Danio rerio: one gene and its partners. The protein of the gene in region 5 interacts with the protein of the main gene of each other region in a pairwise test. Links are inferred from orthologs where the notes say so. Each region holds a gene or a part of one and is shown on either strand. Other genes may lie near its edges.

The links. The genes of interacting proteins can lie anywhere in the genome.
Region 1: the proteins of cep70 (region 5) and hspd1 interact in binary tests that used the Homo sapiens proteins (3 or more experiments, as listed by UniProt). The two-hybrid records come from large-scale screens. The link is inferred for Danio rerio from reciprocal best matches to the Homo sapiens genes CEP70 and HSPD1.
Region 2: the proteins of cep70 (region 5) and sytl4 interact in binary tests that used the Homo sapiens proteins (3 or more experiments, as listed by UniProt). The two-hybrid records come from large-scale screens. The link is inferred for Danio rerio from reciprocal best matches to the Homo sapiens genes CEP70 and SYTL4.
Region 3: the proteins of cep70 (region 5) and lamtor5 interact in binary tests that used the Homo sapiens proteins (3 or more experiments, as listed by UniProt). The two-hybrid records come from large-scale screens. The link is inferred for Danio rerio from reciprocal best matches to the Homo sapiens genes CEP70 and LAMTOR5.
Region 4: the proteins of cep70 (region 5) and gpatch4 interact in binary tests that used the Homo sapiens proteins (3 or more experiments, as listed by UniProt). The two-hybrid records come from large-scale screens. The link is inferred for Danio rerio from reciprocal best matches to the Homo sapiens genes CEP70 and GPATCH4.

What each region holds. Positions count from the first base shown.
Region 1 is NC_133184.1:33,978,049-33,982,199, reverse strand, and holds the start of hspd1 (60 kDa heat shock protein, mitochondrial), read left to right. Parts: upstream 1-1,341; 5' UTR 1,342-1,389; intron 1,390-4,151. Other genes in the region: hspe1 (10 kDa heat shock protein, mitochondrial), read right to left, coding at 420-422. UniProt on the Homo sapiens protein: Chaperonin implicated in mitochondrial protein import and macromolecular assembly. Together with Hsp10, facilitates the correct folding of imported proteins.
Region 2 is NC_133189.1:40,023,270-40,027,218, forward strand, and holds the start of sytl4 (synaptotagmin-like protein 4), read left to right. Parts: upstream 1-1,139; 5' UTR 1,140-1,246; intron 1,247-1,616; 5' UTR 1,617-1,694; intron 1,695-2,726; exon of another isoform or gene 2,727-2,772; intron 2,773-3,949. UniProt on the Homo sapiens protein: Modulates exocytosis of dense-core granules and secretion of hormones in the pancreas and the pituitary. Interacts with vesicles containing negatively charged phospholipids in a Ca(2+)-independent manner.
Region 3 is NC_133183.1:26,634,992-26,639,180, reverse strand, and holds the start of lamtor5 (ragulator complex protein LAMTOR5), read right to left. Parts: upstream 2,811-4,189; 5' UTR 2,685-2,810; coding exon 2,650-2,684; intron 2,560-2,649; coding exon 2,498-2,559; intron 1,872-2,497; coding exon 1,754-1,871; intron 1-1,753. UniProt on the Homo sapiens protein: As part of the Ragulator complex it is involved in amino acid sensing and activation of mTORC1, a signaling complex promoting cell growth in response to growth factors, energy levels, and amino acids.
Region 4 is NC_133191.1:32,152,005-32,156,146, reverse strand, and holds the start of gpatch4 (G patch domain-containing protein 4), read right to left. Parts: upstream 2,811-4,142; 5' UTR 2,604-2,810; coding exon 2,525-2,603; intron 2,383-2,524; coding exon 2,309-2,382; intron 1,310-2,308; coding exon 1,217-1,309; intron 1,018-1,216; coding exon 907-1,017; intron 795-906; coding exon 679-794; intron 576-678; coding exon 525-575; intron 1-524. Other genes in the region: gon4lb (GON-4-like protein), read right to left, coding at 3,815-3,928.
Region 5 is NC_133197.1:12,298,231-12,301,164, forward strand, and holds part of cep70 (centrosomal protein of 70 kDa), read right to left. Parts: intron 1,221-2,934; coding exon 1,118-1,220; intron 1-1,117.

The DNA.
Region 1 (4,151 bases), on a different chromosome or scaffold from region 5:
AAAACACTCTTAACACGTTAAGTATTTATAACACAAAATGTCAGGTGCATTTTTTTTATCGTGTAACATTAACACTATTAAAACCCCATTTACACATCTAACGTTAACGTTATACCAAAATGTTACGCTGGTGTATAAACCAGCTGTTAGCAAAATTATTCATTAAATACATCGGGTTAGCTCTGAACCTTATTGACATAAACCAACCTTTCACCCACACTTCACGTGCCCATATTAACTAACAACTTCAGCATCAAATCATTTTTACACATTGAATCTGGGCACGACTGCATTACTAACCGTGACCTTGCAGTCGCAGTTGATGGGGAGTTATAAAACATCACGCGAAACAATTCAACACAACATAGTAACATCTCATTCAGACGGAGTAGTTGGATTAATTATCTTACGCGTCTTACCATTTTAGCTGATCTTTAAGAAAACCGCGTCCGACAGAGCAGCAAGAGACCGTCACACTGGACCACTTCACTCCTGCGATCCACGTGAAGAAGAAATGTCTGGAAGGGCACTGCGCATGCGCCACAAGACAATCCCTACCGACCCCAGACCTGCAATCTAGAATATTCCTCGATCTCCCAAACCTTACATAAAGACATTTGACTCTTTTTTTGTTGTTTCGTAACAAAGGAGAAATTTTTATCTGATTGTTACAGCATTTATAACTTGCACAATATTTAAATGAATAATACATGTGCTGCTTCAGTACAAAATTTCACGTTATTCAAACACATTTAATATAGATGATTTTTATTTTTAAAAGATAAAATTGACAAATAACTCAACTCAAATGCATTTTTAAAAGCTATCTTGAGCTTTCTACATAATACTAATATTATTAATAATAAAGTATTGTAATTATATAATATAAATACACATATATTGACTTAATATGTAGATAATCTATAAGAAAAGGTTATAATATTAGACCTTTAACAAAAAAAACAACGAAATTTGCAAAACGCAATACCATTTCTGGTTGCACAATCTTGACCTCTGACGTCTATTTTTCTCCAATAGAATCTGCGAAATTTCTCGAACTTAAAGCCCCGGAACGAGCATAACACCGATTTAATAGATATTAATGATACATTTTGTTCACATTTTCTCCCACTGTCGTCAAAATACGTCAATTATTATTGAGACAAAAGTTGCTGAAAGCGTATGTTTTAAAAAAAGCATAACGCATACATAGAATGTGAGAGTATTGAGTTATGCAGATGTCAGGGCTGCGGGGGAGGTTACCCGGATGAAGAACACATGTGCGTCGAGTGGAACTGCAGCGGCTCTAAAGCGGCTCCTCTTATATCATTCAGCCTGCTCCGCTGACGGACACGCGCATCCCTTCATTCACCTCCAGATCACTCTGCAGTAAGTCACTCAGCATTATCCTCATCCATAAAAGCCTATAAACACAATATATTGCTTAATGCTCTTTAATGCCAAGCTGATATAAAGATAATTGAAATCAGTGAGCTCAAACAGGCAGGGACGTATCGTAGCATGTAAGTTAATCATGTAACACACTGTCACGTTGTTTCTCAGAGTTATAAAGTAGCATCGTGCATGTTTCTTGTCGAACGACTTGTCAATTAGTTAATTTTTTTTTAACATTTATCCTTGATGACAGATGCAGCCATTAGAATAGCCGGCTTTATAGTAAGCAGGGTGTTTTGCATATTATAACGTTATGCACTTATGCTGACAACTGTAATGCATGTGTTTAATTTAGCTGTTGCTTTATAAGCAATTTAAGACAGTATAATAGTGGTTATAGGTGTTCAGTTGACTATTGCAAGTTATGCTATATTGAGGCCTACGAATATTAAATATTTTTATGTTTGGAATATTTAAGCGGTGTAAAATCTACTATGGTTGATTTTGATTAAACAAAAGGAATATCCAGGGAACTTTATAACGTGAACTCATGGAGATGAAAGGCATCATTTCCGTCTGTGTCGTGACGCGGAGTGATTTTGACCTTGTGACGCCCTGAACACACGTGGGGTAGTAGAGGGACTCACTACAGGCTTTACAAGACACGATTGTTTAAACATTAGTATTTACATTAAATACAAAATAACATTACACTGAAAATGTTAGTCTAATGTTATATTAAACATTTTTTTAAATGCATGGTACTCTGATTTTACGAAACATTGTTGTAAGTGTCCATGTGATCCATGAAGTGATGATATCGTATATTCCAGAACATGTTTTAAGGGGAGGTGCTGACATTTTGGACACCAAATAAGAGGAGAATTAGCTTAAAAAATGAATGAATGGCCAGTGTAAAGCATTGGAGGGGGCGGCGAGTGCAAAGACAAATTTTTGGCATCCGTATCATGTGACCTCGACACAAGGCTTTTTTTCCCTTGCTGGTTAGGGATTGTTCAGATATTATCCTTGTTCAGATATTTTTTTCTGTGTGTGACTGCCATGCATTAAATGTACTCTATGCCTAACCGAACACCGAAATTGTAATGAAAAATCACACTAGGATCTTTTAAGAAACTGATTCTTCGATTTGTTGGCTACTATCAGCCAATCAGTAAAGGATTTCTGCCTGCTTCAACCAATGTTTGTCAGTTTTGGGCGGGGCCACGTCATTGATTAAATCAGAGGTTCTCAAACTGGGGAAAGGGGTCATTCATGCAGATTTTATTGTAAAATATTAGCCAAACAAAATAATAAATTAACTAATAATAATAATAATAATAAAAATTTAATTAATAAATTACAAATTATTACTATAAGCATTTTTTAAAAGAAAATGTATACCATCTAATTATTAAATGAAGATGAACATTTGTGAGATTCAAATAAGTAATTTAAAAAACAAATATAATAAATAACATTTAGATAATTGCAAGTTCTAACTAATAACATTTGAATGTGTAAATATCATAATTAAATTATTATAGTAATTGTAATAGTATATTATTAGTAGGAGGAACAAAATAATATTGTAGCCTAATACTAAATAGAAAATAAATGTGTATATATTATAATGTGCGTTTTTTTTTTTCTTTTTTTAAATGGACCAAAAAGTTTTTATGAGTATGTGTATTATAATATTTTTATCATTCAAAATCGCCTATAGTGTTGATGAAGCCAAGTAGAGCTGTGAGATTAATCAAACTCGTATCCCAATTTAAAACGTTGTGATTAGTTATTCGCAAGAGGCTGCAATATGAAATGTATATATTGTTTAATTTCCCCCACCCAGAGCACATGAGCGACTGATGGCTGTGTGTGACAGTCTTACCAGCCAATTGAGTGAGCACACTTTTGTTCTGCTCAATCAGAATTTTGCAACCGAACTACAGCCACAATAAAAAAGAGAAACCAAACCGGAAAGCGCTGATAAGTGGGATGATGGTGTCGGCTGCTTCAGAAGCATTAATCGACAAATTAATACCAAAGAAAAACAGCACTGGGAATATTTTGTTTTCAAAGTCAAAAACAGGTCATTTTTAAGAGCTGTTGCAGAATTGTTGCCACAACTTAGAATATTGAGCTCGACTACAAAATTATTCGTAAATCCAATAGCAATATCTGTCAGAAAAATCGCAATTAGCTATTTTCCCCAAATCGCACAGCCCTAAAGCCAAGTGTGGCTGGCTGTAAATAGTGTAAAATCATTGGATATTTTGTGCATATTTACTGAGAAATGACCAGATATGAGCAAATTTTTATTATATTCCATTTTTTTGTTATTTATTTTATAAATTAAATGCTGTTTATCCTGTAAATTACAAATAAACAAGGGCCTCTGAATGATTCTGAAACACTTTGTTTTAAATTAATTGAATTCATTTTGTAATTTTATGCCTTTCTCTAAATTAATTTCAATAATTGCTTTATTGGCATGACAAATGTTACAAATGTATTGAATAAAAAGTTTACATAAAGTAACATACATGTATAATAAAAAAACAGTACACACAATATATAGTAGTAAAGCAAAAAAAAACATATAATATTCAAATAAAATACAATATATTTAATATATCATGTTATTCAATATATCATATTATTTATACAATTCAATTATAAACATAATTGATCAGAATAAACTGTACATTTTAACAATCAACATTTTAGGATAAAACAGTAATAAAAACAACAAC
Region 2 (3,949 bases), on a different chromosome or scaffold from region 5:
TTAAATAAAATAATTGTTCATTAATTTTAATCGAGTTAAAATGTTTAGTTAAACAGGATTTTGATTTTAGGCCAAATTGCCCAGCCCTATAAGTGGCCATCAATAATTATTTTCATGGTATTCTTCCATTCATTCATTCATTCATTCATTCATTCATTTATGCATTCATTCATTTTCTTTTTGGCTTAGACCCTTTATTAATCAGGGGTCGCCACAGCGGAATGAACCGCCAACTTATCCAGCATATGTTTTACACAGTGGATGCCCTTCCAGTTGCAACTCATCACTGGGAAACATCCATACGCACTCATTCACACACATACACTATGGACAATTTAGCTTAGCCAATTCTTTTTATTGTCTATTAGTTACATTTTGGTCTGGAAATGTTGATTTTTTAAAAGCATTTTTACATTAAAATTAGCTGTATTTGTTCATTGTATCGGAAATGTTTTGTAAGATTCTTACTTTAAATTTTCGGACGTTATTGTGTACATTTTCTACCATGGAATATTGCCATGTAATTAAAACATTACATCATTTCACCCAGAAGTTATTCTTTCTTTCTTTCATTCTTTCTTTCTTTCTTAATCTATGTTTTTAGTAAGTAATTCTGTCCACATTAAATTAAATTTACAAGTGCCATTTTGAGGGATGTAAACAAAAACAATAGTCCCAACGAATTTCCTGTTTTACTTGTTTAATTTCTATAGAATCCGAAAAGAGTCACATTTTAATAAAAATTGTTGTGAAATCTGTGTTATGAGTGAATCGCCTCTTGCCACAGTTTTGAAATAGTTTGATAATAAGAAGGAAATGTTCATGGGCCTTTACAAACCATGTATATTAAATATTAGTAAAGTTGCAGTTTTAACATTTTCTGGGATAGATGAAAATTATATCATTCAGCGGTTACTGTAAAGCAACATTCAGACATCTGCGTATTAAAATAATGTGTAGATATATTCCACAATATGTGAATTATTTAGTTTGAATGTCTTTTGTATATTTTTAGATTGCACATAAGTTAAAAACCTCGCTCATGAGGAATCGCTCACATCTGCAGCGCGCATCGTCGTGAACGCGCACCTGTTGCACGGTGTTCAGTCTATGGTTCAGCGTCTGACGCGCGGAACTGCAGTGACTGAAAAGTTTCCGTTTGTTCCGGGAGGACGTTTGTTTGGCAAAGCTGGAAGTCGAAAAGCTCACACGACAGAATAAACGACAGAAAAATCCTGCGCCTTTGGTAAGTGAACATTTGAACGCATGTCGTAAAGCTTTTATTCGGTTTATCTGTTGAATGTAAGGAACATGTTTACTACACTGTTTGTTTATATTGTGCCTTCTGCAGTTTCCTTTGAGATACAACGAGTTTCTCTAGTGTTGTCATTATTAAGTCTTAATGGGCTGCATTTAAGACCTAAATATGCGTGCTAAGTTATTTTTTAATGTTCATGTACTTTAGCTGTTAGTTTTCTTTTGCAACTTAAGTTTAATTCTTTTAATAAATTCGATTACATAGTTTAATTTTATCGTGTATAAGAGCAACATAGTTCTGTATAACAGGAGGAAAGTCCATTGTAGTGCTCACATTACTCCTCTCTGTTTTCCCTCAGACATTTAAAGAATGAGGAAAAGTTTGCCTCAGATTGTCTATTTGTTCGGGATGTAGACCAAACCAGTTTTAATGAAAGGTTATTATATTTTTTCCTCAACCTTTTGTCACCAGTTTATCTCTAAGGACATTTACAAGCCTTTTACTGTTAATGGTTATCATAAGTGTCTCATTTAGTATTGTAGGTTTACTAAAGACCTCCACCCATCGTTGTGTTTCCTTAAAGGGTGGCAACTCTTGTGATACACACACACACACTGAATGTTGTTCCTCTTTTCCTGATGACATTCCACCGCTTGGCCTCTTTTCCCATACTCTGTTGGCCTTTAGTAATAAATTTTATTCATTAGCTGTCCATAATTCTCCAGCCAACAAATCAAAACAAGGTTCTCATGCTCTCTGGGTATGTTTTCCCCACTACTGTTTTTCCATTCAGAGGTAGCATGATAAGTCTTGTTTATAAATATTTATCCTTCATTTTCTTTTCGGCTTAGTCCCTTTATGAATCAGGGGTCTCCACAGCGGAATAAACCGCCAACTTATCCAGCATATGTTTTATGTAGCAGATGCCCCTCCAACTGCAAACCGTCACTGAAACAACCATACACAATCAGTCACACCCATACACTATGGACTATTTAGCTTACCCAATTTACCTATAGCGTATGTTTTTGGACTATGAAGGAAACCGGAGCACCCGTAGGATACCCATGCCAACACGAGGAGAACATGCAAACTCTACACAGAAACGCCAGCTGACCCAGCCTAGGCACAAACCAGTGACCTTTTTGGTGTGAGGCGATCGTGCTACCCATTGCGCCACCGCATTACCTATAAATATTTCTATTTTTGCTAAATAAATATATTATTATATATGAAGAGTGCAGATGCAAAAGTGCCATCTGAGATTTTCTTCTAATATTAGCATTTTTACCAGGCTCCTGTTTCTTGATTCCGGTGATGTTTTTCTCAGGAATTGTAATTTTTAGGTAGTAGTTTTAAAAATGTGAACTTTTACTTTACATTTTAGTTTAGTATCGGTACTTTTACTCTACTACTTTCCTTCAACCTGCAGTCACTACTGTATTTTTTTCTTGTCTATGGGGATTAGAAAAATCAGTCCTGTGATTCCTGTCCAATCAAATCCCACATAGAAGGTAAGTCACATCATAATGAACTACCTCAAGACATGGTTGATTTACTGTTTGCAAGCATTAAAAGTTTCCAAGAAAATGTCCAAAATTGACCCAGAGAAAGTTTAGATACAGGTCACTGATGAAAATATGATGCATGATTACTGTATGTTGGCCAAAATGGCCTTGAACACCCAGCAGGCACAAGATGTCAAGATGATGTCAGATTGACGTTGTGCCCAAACTTCGTGGGGATGTTGCATTTTATTTGGAAATTAAAATCCGGTTGACATCAGAACCCAACGTCAGCCTGACATCAATGTCAAACATAAAATCAACCAAATATCAACTTCTAATGATGTTACAGCTTGACGTTGTGTGGACGTTACCACTATGACGTCTATCAGATGTTGGATTTTGGTTGCCATACCTGACGAATAAATGTCTTTGACAAGTATTTGACATCAATATGATGGTTTAGGATGTTGGCTCAACTTTGAATTTTGGTCACTTTTCAACACAACCTAAAATTAACCAAACATCATTCGACCTCATTTTTGGACATCAAAAAAACGTTGTCCTTAGACGCTTACTAGACATTGAATTTTGGTCACCTGACGTCACAAAGTAAATGTAACCTAATATTAACATCTTACGTTGTGTGCCTGCTGTGCAATAACTAAATGCACTACAGAATGTTATGTTTATACACATCCACAGATTACATGTAAATGCATCGGCTTTTCACAGCATAATACTCACTAGTCTTGAGTGCAATTGAATGGTCTACTTTTCACTCATACTTTGAGTAATATTCACAACAGATACTTTTACTCTACTTGCACAACATTTGTAGGCAAGTAATGGTAGTTTTACTTAAGTATGATTTTCAGTACACTTTCCACCACTGCTTGATTCAGTAATTTCACCTTTATGGCAAAGAATAGGTTATTTTCATTGCTAAGAGGCTGAGAAAAATGTTCATTGTAAAAGAAAATTCCAGATGGCACTTAGAGGTTTTTGTATCTGAACTCTTTATATATTATATTATATTATATTATATTATATTATATTATATTATATTATATTACATTACATTACATTACATTACATTACATTATATTATATTGTATTATATTACACTTTTTAGTGTGCTATGCAAGCCTTGTATCTTCACTGGTTTAGAGGATTTTTGAAATTT
Region 3 (4,189 bases), on a different chromosome or scaffold from region 5:
CAAATTTGTTTTACTTAAAAAAACATCTGTGAAAGCATGTACGAAAAAATCTTATATTGCTGTGATTACCATCTTCTAGGCTAAAAGATGAAACCATTTTGAAAGATGTAAAAAGACAGTGACTGCTAGTCAGTTTTGAAGAAAACACGACACAGCAGGGTTAGTTGTAACAGGGTGTTACAATTAAGCCACACACTGTTGGACACCAATTAAACTAACTGAATATTTTTATTTTTTATTTTTGATAATGTAATGTTGAGAACTTTTTAAATAAACATGATTTTTTTATAGAAAATATATATTTTTTAATAGAAAAAATTAGTTTTATTGCTAATAATGCAAATAAACGCATTTTATAATAATGCAAAAAAAAAATCCAAATGTGTTCATTAAGTGGATAAATAAGTAAATAAACATGCTGTGCTATGTATAACACAAAATAAATTGAGCCAAGTACTGAGGAAATATAGCTACTATTTAAAGTAAACAGAAATTAAATTAACTGTGTGGAATCTGCCTTTGTAAGCATGCGTTACAACTTACCCTCTGTTTGTTACAACGTGCCCCACTGCTGGGGCAAATAGTAACATTTTTGCTCCTGGCACTTTTGGCAATACTGCACAGAAACTGTAGGAGACAGTTTGTGTGTTGTTGGTACAAAAAATGGTTTGTCTAAGCCCATTACTTTGTTCATTATTTGGCCAAAACCAAAAAGTGTTACTTTGTGCCCTGCTCTTCCCTATCCCAGGTCAGACGGTGCTTACTCCAGGTATATCAGTTTCTAAAAATCACAGCTGGTGGCAAGTTCAGTCAACTTAAGAATCTGCCAACCATAAACACACAAGACATTCTCAAAAGAATAGCAATTCCACAAGTCATGGGTGAGAAATTAATGCTAAAAAAAAAAAAAAAAAGAGCGCCTTTTATTTTTTCGTTGTTCTTGTTTAATGGCAAGTTACATTCTTTTAGCATATTGCCAACAAATTTGTGGCTGTGCAGACATTTTTAAAACCGTTTAGTTAAATGTTCAATCTTTATTAACTACTGTGTACAGGAATTATAATGTTAAAATCAATTGATTTACTTTGTTTAAACCCATCCGCATTAACTTTAAAAAAAGATGAATTACATCTATTAATTAGTAATACATATGCCATGCATTATATTGAAATGGTTCCATTGCTTTCATTACTTTTGATTGAATATCCATAATGATAGTGGCAAAAAATTAACCATTACTTAAAAACATTTACTTGATAATAGTGCTTTTTTTAAAATAATAAACCCCCAAAAACTCATAAGAAATCATATGCCTCTCTATAATTATATCCATACTACAAATATCAATGATTCAATGAATCACTCATTAAGACTTGCCGCCATCTATTGGTGGTTTTGAGTGATATTGATCCAAGACAGTTCTAAAGCAACCAAATGACCAGCACAAAATATTAATCCTTGATGAATTAAAATGAATGGAATACTTTCTGAGAAAGTCACACGCCAATTTGATAGTTTCAATACTTATTACACGTCACTATATATACACTTTAGTGACAACTGGTGTGTGTGGAAGAGGGAAGGTATAATGGGATGAATGACTTTCAAAGATTGTTGTTTAACTGACTTTCCCTCATTTAACTTTCTTAATTAATGTCATCGATTTCTGCAGATTGTTTTGTTGTCTCTCAAATCAAAAAATTCTCAAGATACATAGAAATAAGACAGATGCTGGTCAAGAAGCTTTCCTTACCCACAGTCAGACTCCAGGCACACTGTAGGACAGTCGGTGGCATCTTTGGTTAGAGAAGCAGCCTGCTTGGCCAGTACAGATACAACTCCTCCATGTTCATCAGATAGTGAGCCCCGGCCTGGAGATTAAAATATTTGTAATGTCATTGAGAATTACAGTATATTTTCAAGTTCTGGAAACCAAATGGAAAAGAGTCAACTGAGAATCTATATAAAGCACAATTCTATAACCCTATATTTTGTTGAAAAGTTTTAAATTGTATATTGTTTTGCACATGGTAATACACTGAAAAAGCAGGCTTAAAATGCTCAAGTTGAATTAATTTATCAGATTAATATTTTTAATACTACACATGCCATTATAGATTTTACTACTCAAACTATATCTATACATCATTTAATTTTACTTTACATTTTTTTTGCATAATTACATTTGAATAGGCTTGTATTTTCTCCCAGTTAACCATGTTTTTTTGTTTACCATTGTTTCAGTTAACTTTAAGTTGGTCAATAACACAGTTATAAAGTTGTCCACAGTAGACACCCGTTCCCTGTTTTGAGAAACAAATCAAACTAATAAAAATTCAAAACGTTTTACATACCTTCAACACATGTGTAAATATTAAAAGCAATATTAACCTCTTGTTGCAAGTGAAAACCCAGTACATGTAAACCAAGCAAATCATGGTCACCAGAGGAAAACTATACTAAGGGAAGTATTAAGGAAAATATAAAAATTACTTACACCCTAGATTATGTCCTTGAGCGTCTGTGCACAAAACCCCAACAATAGCTGGATTTTTCATCCTAGAGTGAGAAAGGAGATCAGTAAATGAAGACGCAAAACGAGTAACGTTACATGCGTAAGAAAAGAAAGTGGTTTCTTTTTAAACATACGTATCGTCAAGATGCTGCTCCAGTGCACCCTCCATAACAGCGTCCTAAATAAGGCTATTAAACTAATAAGAAACACGAAATGTTCAGAAACTGGCAGCGATGTTTGTTACTTGGATAACTTCCGGGATGTCAGCTGACAGTTTAACACGCGACTTAACACTACGGCGCCCTCTAAGGGACAACAAGCAAATAGGATCTAGCGCCATCTTACTCAAGTCAGGATGGTAGGTAAATGGTCCTCTTTTGTTTGCTGCTAAACCTCGACAAGTAGTCAGTCATACAATATAATTTTTTGGGTTAAACATTTTAATTAAACTAAAATGAACACACAAGACATTCTCAAAAGAATACCAATTATACCACAAGTCCCACAGGAGAAATAAATGCTAAGTAGAAGAGTGACTATTTCTGAACCAAAATGAAAAGCTTGAATTTATTAATATGCAGCTGTTGGAATAAATGAATGTTCCTGCAGCACTGCTATTGACTGATCACCTATAATTCAGAGTCTAGATCTTCTATATCCTCGTTTTTATGTTGAACAAATAATAAATTCTTTACAAACCATTCAATGCTCTAAAAAGCAAGTAGGCTACATGTGGTTAACATTTAGCTGGCATTGTCAATGAGAACTCCCAGAGGAACGTGTGAATCTTCGGTGTTGGTATCTCTCTAAATGACCTTGTCCCCTGACCAGACGCACAATAAAAGACCACCGTCAATTGTGTCTGAGCTCAAGCTCTTTATCAGACAGTCTTTTCCATTTTTAACTCAAGATATTGAAGCACTCTCTTTTATAGTTTGTGAGGTTGGTTTAAGAGCCGGGTTTGACATGAGACACATTTTTTCTCTGTCACATCCATTAACTATATGTTTGCTTAACTATATGCGAAGCATATTATAAAATATACTATTACACAAGTTGTGCAAAGTGCAAAGCATGAATCAGGTTAGCAAAGTCAATATACATGCAAATAAGCTGGCAGAATAATAGCTGCCTGTTTCTGCCTCTCTAGAGCCCATCAGAACAGTTTAATCTTTCCTGACTGGATGCAGCCTTATATTTGATGAATATCATTTTTATAGGGTTAATTTAATTCCTTAACTTCTGTCTATTGATGATCGATTTATTTTTATAAATATAGTTTCATTACAATATTATTATTTTTGCGTGTGGGTATATATATACATTTAAATATATATGGATTTTTAGACTACTGATTTTTGTGCAGTTTAAGTCTTTTAATAAGATATTTTGCTTAATTTATTTTACAGTTTTCCTTGGATTGCTTTCATGCAGCCGTCAACTGAAACTCCACATTTTTAAAACAGTTAAAACACAGGCCTAAACAGCGGCACTCATGGTCAAAATAACACATTTTGGTTGCAAAATGCACATGCCGTGTCAAAACATTTAAAATATGCAACAAAAGCTATTTTAACCTTCAAACAACACAACTTGCTAACAAGTATATGAGCTCTTTCAATTAACCATTACACAATGAACAACAAAATACAAAATACAGACCTCAGTGTGAAT
Region 4 (4,142 bases), on a different chromosome or scaffold from region 5:
ATCTAATTGAAAATGTGTATTAATGTATTGTCTTAATTGCAAATGAATAACCTATAAAATCATTAATATTACAATGAAATGTTTTCCTTGATTCTTCTTAAACCGGTAACACTTAAAATAAGGTTCATTAGTTAATGTGTTTACTAACATGAACTAATCATGAACAACACTTGTACAGCATTTATTAATCATAACTGAACATTTACTAATTAACATTAGTTAATGCACCATGAGTTAAAATGAACTAATAATGAACTACTGTTTTCATTAACTAACGTTAACTAGCATGAACAAATACAGTAGTAAATGTATTGTTCATTGTTTGTTCATGTTAGTAAATGCATTAATTAACATTAACTAATGAACCTTATTGTAAAGTGTGACCCTTAAACCTTAAATGTCTAACTCAAATGTGATGGGAATGCATCAACGTTAAGAGTTCTTACAGTATTATTTATATAATTTTAACTATTAGGAATTAATATATTATTACATTAGTGCAGATAACAATATTGTAAACGTACTTGTGTGCTGTTCGTCCTCCACAAGCTTTCAGCAGATCTGCATCAGACAGCCTTAAATCAGACACAGAAATACACAGATGAGGGAAAACTAAAAAACACCATCTTGAAGTTCCCTTGTTGGACATTTAGTAATAGTAATATTGGCAGCTCATACTTAGTAGTGGTAGACAGGTCGAGTTTCTGGTCCTCGTCTTCAGAAGAGCTGCTGCTGTCGTCTTCTGCATCACTGATTTTCTCTGGCTGTTCTTCTCCTGACAGTAGCGTAGCAGACTAACAGAGGAAACAGATTTTTAAACATTCATTCATTCACACATGCTTCTTGAAAATACAACTGAATTGTATTTTTTTCCATTTATTATTTGTGCTGTTTGTGGTTTTGTACCTTGACAAAACATCCATAGAGCATGGACTTGGCTTGCTGAGCTTTGCGTGGCTTCTTGTTGGAGATCAGTCCATCACTGCTGTCATCTGATTTCTTCACCATCACACCATTCTGACGCATAATAAACAACATCAAATGAGCCCGCATTACAAACTACAACATGCTGCATATTACACAAACCAACTCTATGCCAACATTTTTTTAGTATTCACTTAAAGATCCAGACTGTTTGAGAAAATAAATAAATAAATAAACCATAGACACTTTTTTGGACATTGTAAAATTGCATTCAATCCTCCTCATTCCTTACCTGCCCCGATTCCACTACCAGACCAGACGAGGCTTTGTTAAAAACATGGTCCCACCAGTGGAAACTAAACTGCTCTCCTTGCTTATGGCCCATCTGAAGACAAATGATACATGAATAAAAACAAAATATACATTTAAGGACTTTTGATTAGACCTACAATGCTGTACTTTATCTAAAACAGTTTTTGGAAGTAAATCATGTAGAATTATTATACAGTTTTCATTGTAATAATAATATTGTTGTAGTTCATTTTAAAGTTATGTTTGGTTCTTTGTGGTCAAACCTAGACAAATAATTATATTGAAATAAATGTACTGGAATAAAAAATATAACAATAATTGTACTTGAGTTCATTTAGCATTTTCTTTAATAAAGAAAAAAATCGTAATGAAATCATACATAACAATACCATATAAAAGATATACAGGCTGTGTCCCCTAATTAGAGAGAACAGGGTTTTCTGACATAATTAGTTAATTAGGTTCTGATTTTACATACACAGACTATCAATAATAGCTTTTGCCAAAGTTCAGAAGCAATGTTACGGAATTGAACAAGAATGGTAATCAGAGCTTTAGGCTGAAATCTCTGGCTCAACTTATTAGAAAGATAGTAGAAATGTTTTAAGTGCACTCTTGATGACGTCTTTAAATTTTAAGCACACACAGGTTTTTTTTTTAAACAAATTCTAAAGCTTTTACAAATAAACAAACATTTGTTTTCATGTCTTGGTGAGGATATTTCATAGACTTCCATTTTATTTGTATCAAATTAATGACACCTTCAATGGCACAGGTGTCAAACTCAGTTTCAAAAGGGCCGCAGCTCTGCAGTTTAGTTCCAACCCTAATTAAACACACCTGATCAAACTAATTGAGTCCTTCAGGCTTGTTTGAAACCTACAAGTAAGTGTGTTGGAGCAGGGTTGGAAACTAAACTGTGCAGGGCTTCGGCCCTCCAGGAATTGAGTTTGACACCCCTGTTCTATGGTTTGTGAACCTGCAACAACATAAAACGTCTTGCCCGTGTTGTCAACTACCCACATGTTGCACGCAAAATAGAGATCTTAATAAAAATCGTTTTGTCACTCACCCCTCCTTTATCACATTTAACTTTGACTTTAATCGCCTCTGAAATGCCATTCTCTGCTCTGCCCAGACCTTTACCTACAACACACACACACACACACACAACCATAACACACCAGTGAGGATTGGTCCGTCTATGGCGGACGAAGCGTCATAATCAATCATATCTGCCATGAGTTTGTGATGAATCATGAGCACAACAAATATATCGTGCTTTTACCCTTTTCCCATCCGTGTCGTAGAAGCTGCTCCTCAGCGAACTTTAGTCCTGTACTCTTTTCTTGGACCGTTTCTGCCATGAATTCTTAAACTCTGCACTCGAATATGAAGGTAAAACACATCAGCCAACTGCACATTGACAATATTCGTTAATTCTGAGTATTTTAGCTGTTTACTTCTGTAAATCGTAACAGCTTACTAAAATAAAAAGAAGGGAAAAGACCAACAATCGCTACCACGCGCTCAGCAAGAGAGCAGGCATGACACCGGCAACTACGGGAAGTGACAAGGGTCACTGATGACGATTAACCAAACGCGTTTTGGCATAAAATGGATTAAATAAATTTTGCGTGTGTACGTTCTTTTAAAAACATACACACCATGCATCTTCATTAGATTTTAAATGATTACAACTTATTTAAAATCTAATGAAAATATATGTAGTATAATCACATTGTTTTAATAATTTTAACCTTTTGATGCACAAGCTCCAAAATAGATATAGAAAAAATAACCTTAGACCCGTCAATTTAGACCCATGTGGTGCATCAAAAGGTTAAGAACAGGCGAGAATAAATATTGTATTGTAGAATAAATATACAGAATAAACATTTAATATTTACACATCTTCCACAATATTACGATGAAAGCGCTTTTCACATATATCATGCTATTAATAGACTTTCAGTGGATTTCAAATCCCTTGTAAATAAAATTTATTGTGAACCTCAAAATGGAACAGTCATCCTTCACTGCATAATGTTTAATCATGTTTAATTCAGACTCAAAACATGGTATAAATAGTCATTTTATTATTTGGATTACCAACAACTGTGCGCCATTCTCAAAACTAACATCTGAAGCAAAATAAAAACAACAAAACCACCCTGATATAAAAATACTGTACATGCCATATGTTCACATATTCACAGAATATACAATCAACCTGTCAGAAACCATGGAGGTGAGAATATGCTGGTTAGTGCTCTACAATTTCTCTGCTATCAAACATCTCATTTTGTGCTAAGTGAGAGCCTGTCATTTGTCCAATTACAATACAATAATCAGGGATAAAATGGAGCAGTTTGTGCTACATTTCTTCAATAATTATGTTGGTTTTGTGTTTAGAACGTGACGGATAGCACCTTCATATGATGGATTTATACTTCACATGTTAAAAGGAGGCCAACAGAACCTTTTTTTCCACCATGCTTAAAACACATCTTTGGCAGGTGTCAGTGTAAGAAGAACTGCATAAGTATTTTTTAATGAAGCAGTCAGAAGGCAGGGTTCAGTCCTGCTCTTCATCAGTGGCCGACTGCTGCTCTGCAGCCTCGTCCTCTGAACTGGCCTGAGAAGCTGACGTGTGGAACAGACGCATTAAATCCCGAAATCTCCTTGAAACCTGCACACACAATCATGTTAAAAATGCACTTTTTTTCTGGTTCCCCATTTTTTTAAGAAAAGATTGCTTTTGCTGAACGCCCTTGTACTCATCATTTAGGGCTTGCGCATGTGTTGTTTGCAGTAAAAACTGACGGGAAACCATAGTTGTATAACACTTTTTTACAATAAATCTAATGTAGTGTGGTTTTTCATAATAAACATTTACATCTCTC
Region 5 (2,934 bases):
CTCACCGTGTAGCAAAGGCCAAGAAAGCCCACACAAAAGCAGAAGAGCAAATAACTGGTGATTATTATAAAAATGGTTATGATTATTTTAATATGTTTACTTTAATTTGCTGTTTTTCTGTTCAACCGGATCATGTGTTAATGTTTTACTAACAGTTCAGTTTAGTTAATAGTAACTAAACTTTTCCTTACCCAAACCACTGTTTACAGTATTTGACGTTTTTACTCTGAAATATTTCTATAATTTGATACGTTTTGATTCATCAGTCATTACTTGTGTGTTAACAAATAAATACAAATGAATTATATTTCCTAAAATTATATTATAGTTCCTAAAAATTTGGGTCGCGGCCTGATGACCATGTAAAAATGTGGGTCCCATGGCCAAACCAGTTGAGAAACCCTGACATAGATAATATAAACAGACAACTTATAAAATATATGTGAATGATACCAATGAGATATATAACACTGTGTATAGATATTTATAAATATCTTCTCAAATATGTGCCTGCATGGGTGTATTTAAATGTACTTGATAAATATACACAGCGCTCACACACACACAACGTCAAAACGAGCTTAGATTTTTGGATGCGATTAATCTTTGCTCAGCACTAAAATGGACATTAGTAAATTCTGTAACGGCAAAATGTTGCATGAAAATGTGGAGAGTATCTTCTTTAGTTGAAAAAGGCATTTTGTTGTCTAAAAAATGTATTTAATGTATGAAAACATGGCTCCTTGTTATCTTTTGCAAAAACAAATATATTTTCACCAAAAAGTCTCTACTAAACATGTTTCTATGTTCTCTATTAAACTTTTTTTTTTACCAGCAGTATCAGCACAGTAGTTTACAGAATAAAAAGTACATTTCCTATAGCTATTCTAGTCTTAGACCTGCTGAAAATAATATGATTAAAATAAAAGAAATAATTTGTGTTTTACTCCTATTTCATTTGACCATTAAATGCCGTCATTAACTGTGTGGATGTGTTCGGATGATTCAAATATGAACTTAAAGCATCAGGTAGATGTGGACCGCCATCAGCCGACGTCCCTGAACTGAGTCATAACGGAAAAGGTTTACAGATATTCAAATGAACAGACGCACATACCTGTCAATGTCGCTGCTTTCCAGAAGGCTGCAGATCTCCTGTCCAGACTGAGACAGGACACTGGAGACGCTGCTGACCACCTCACTAGCAGGAGCTTTATCATCTACAACAGCAGAAGAGGAGCAAAGCATCAGCTCATCGTGATCTCCACATTTTCCCAGCTGATTAATTACATCAATAATTCAAACAACAACATAAAAGGCATTTAAGTTTTTTTAAAGTGTGATGTTTACATATGCAAATAATACATTATTTCAACATGTGCTAATTTGCATACATTTTTAGTGCACAAATCTGACTATTCAGCAAGTTGAGTAATTTTTTTTTTGTTGAGCCAAAGGTTTTTATAAAGGAGGAATATGGAAATCTTATTGCGCTCTGTAATTCAGAAATTAGCCATGCAGACATTTTTTTAATGGTTTATTTTGTATATACTATAAACAAATATTTAAATATTTCTTATAACAACAGTAACTTTTATATGACGTATAACTGAAGATATACATTTAATAAACTTATTAAATACATTTTGATTACACATTTTGCTGCTCCAAAAAACAACAATAGTAATGCTGACTCACTAAAGTGCAGGTTTCTTTTATTGTTCAAGACGTTGTGGCCCATTATGCTCATCTAACATTAAGTACATGTACATTAGACTCAGGTCTGATATTTTGTACAGAAAATATATTTAGCATTCGCAAGTATTTTTTGATTTTACTCTGAGAAATATTGATTATTCCAACCATCAGTACGCATCCCTTAAATGACGTTTGGATATATGTATTGTAATTGTCGCACTTTATCAATCAGCATCTGTAGATTTCAATGTATTCTCCGTGTTTTTTTACATTAAAATTGACAGGTGCATAAAAAAAATAGGAAACACAGTGTAAGTCCCAGCTTACAGTCTTGCCATTGTTATAAAAAGACATCCAAGGGCATGAACATTGGGCTTGAAGCATGAAGCTAAATAGCACCTCTAGTGCTATTTATTGTAGTTCATTGTATTATGTAAAAAACAAAATTATAATTAAATAAATAATTAAAAATAAATTTACATATACACACACATTCCCCCACTTGAATTTCTTTTTTTTATATTTCCCAAATGACGTTTAACAGAGCAAGGAAATTTTCACAGTATGTCTGATAATATTTTTTCTTCTGGAAAAAGTCTTATTTGTTTTATTTTGGCTAGAATAAAAACAGTTTTTAATTAAAAAAAAAAACATTTTAAGGTCAAAATTATTAGCCCCTTTAAGCTATATATTTTTCAATAGTCCACAGAACAAACCATCGTTATACAATAACTTTCCTAATTCCCCTAACCTGCCTAGTTAACCTAATAAACCTAGTTAAGCCTTTAAATATCACTTCAAGCTGTGTAGAAGTGACTTGAAGAATATCTAGTCAAATATTATTTACTGTCATCATGGCAAAGAGAAAATAAATCAGTCATTAAAGATGAGTTATTAAAACTATTATGTTTAGAAATGTGTTGGAAAAAAAATCTTCTCTCCGTTAAACAGAAATTAGGGGAAAAAACACAGGGGAAACAGGAGATTTTTTTTACATGGTAATACAACAAACTTATGTACAGAGCCACAAACATAAAACATGAATCAACCAGAAAACTAAAAGAAAATGTAAAGTTAGACCTGAATGAATCTTATTGAATGTTCACATTGTTGTAAAGATTTCAGCCATTTTCATAGTCTTATTCTTCGAGTTCTGATTGCAAGTGTGGCTTACTAACTGCCTATAATTAAAGTACTGGCATGATCTTGTTCTACATCTCTAATCCTACCAAACAT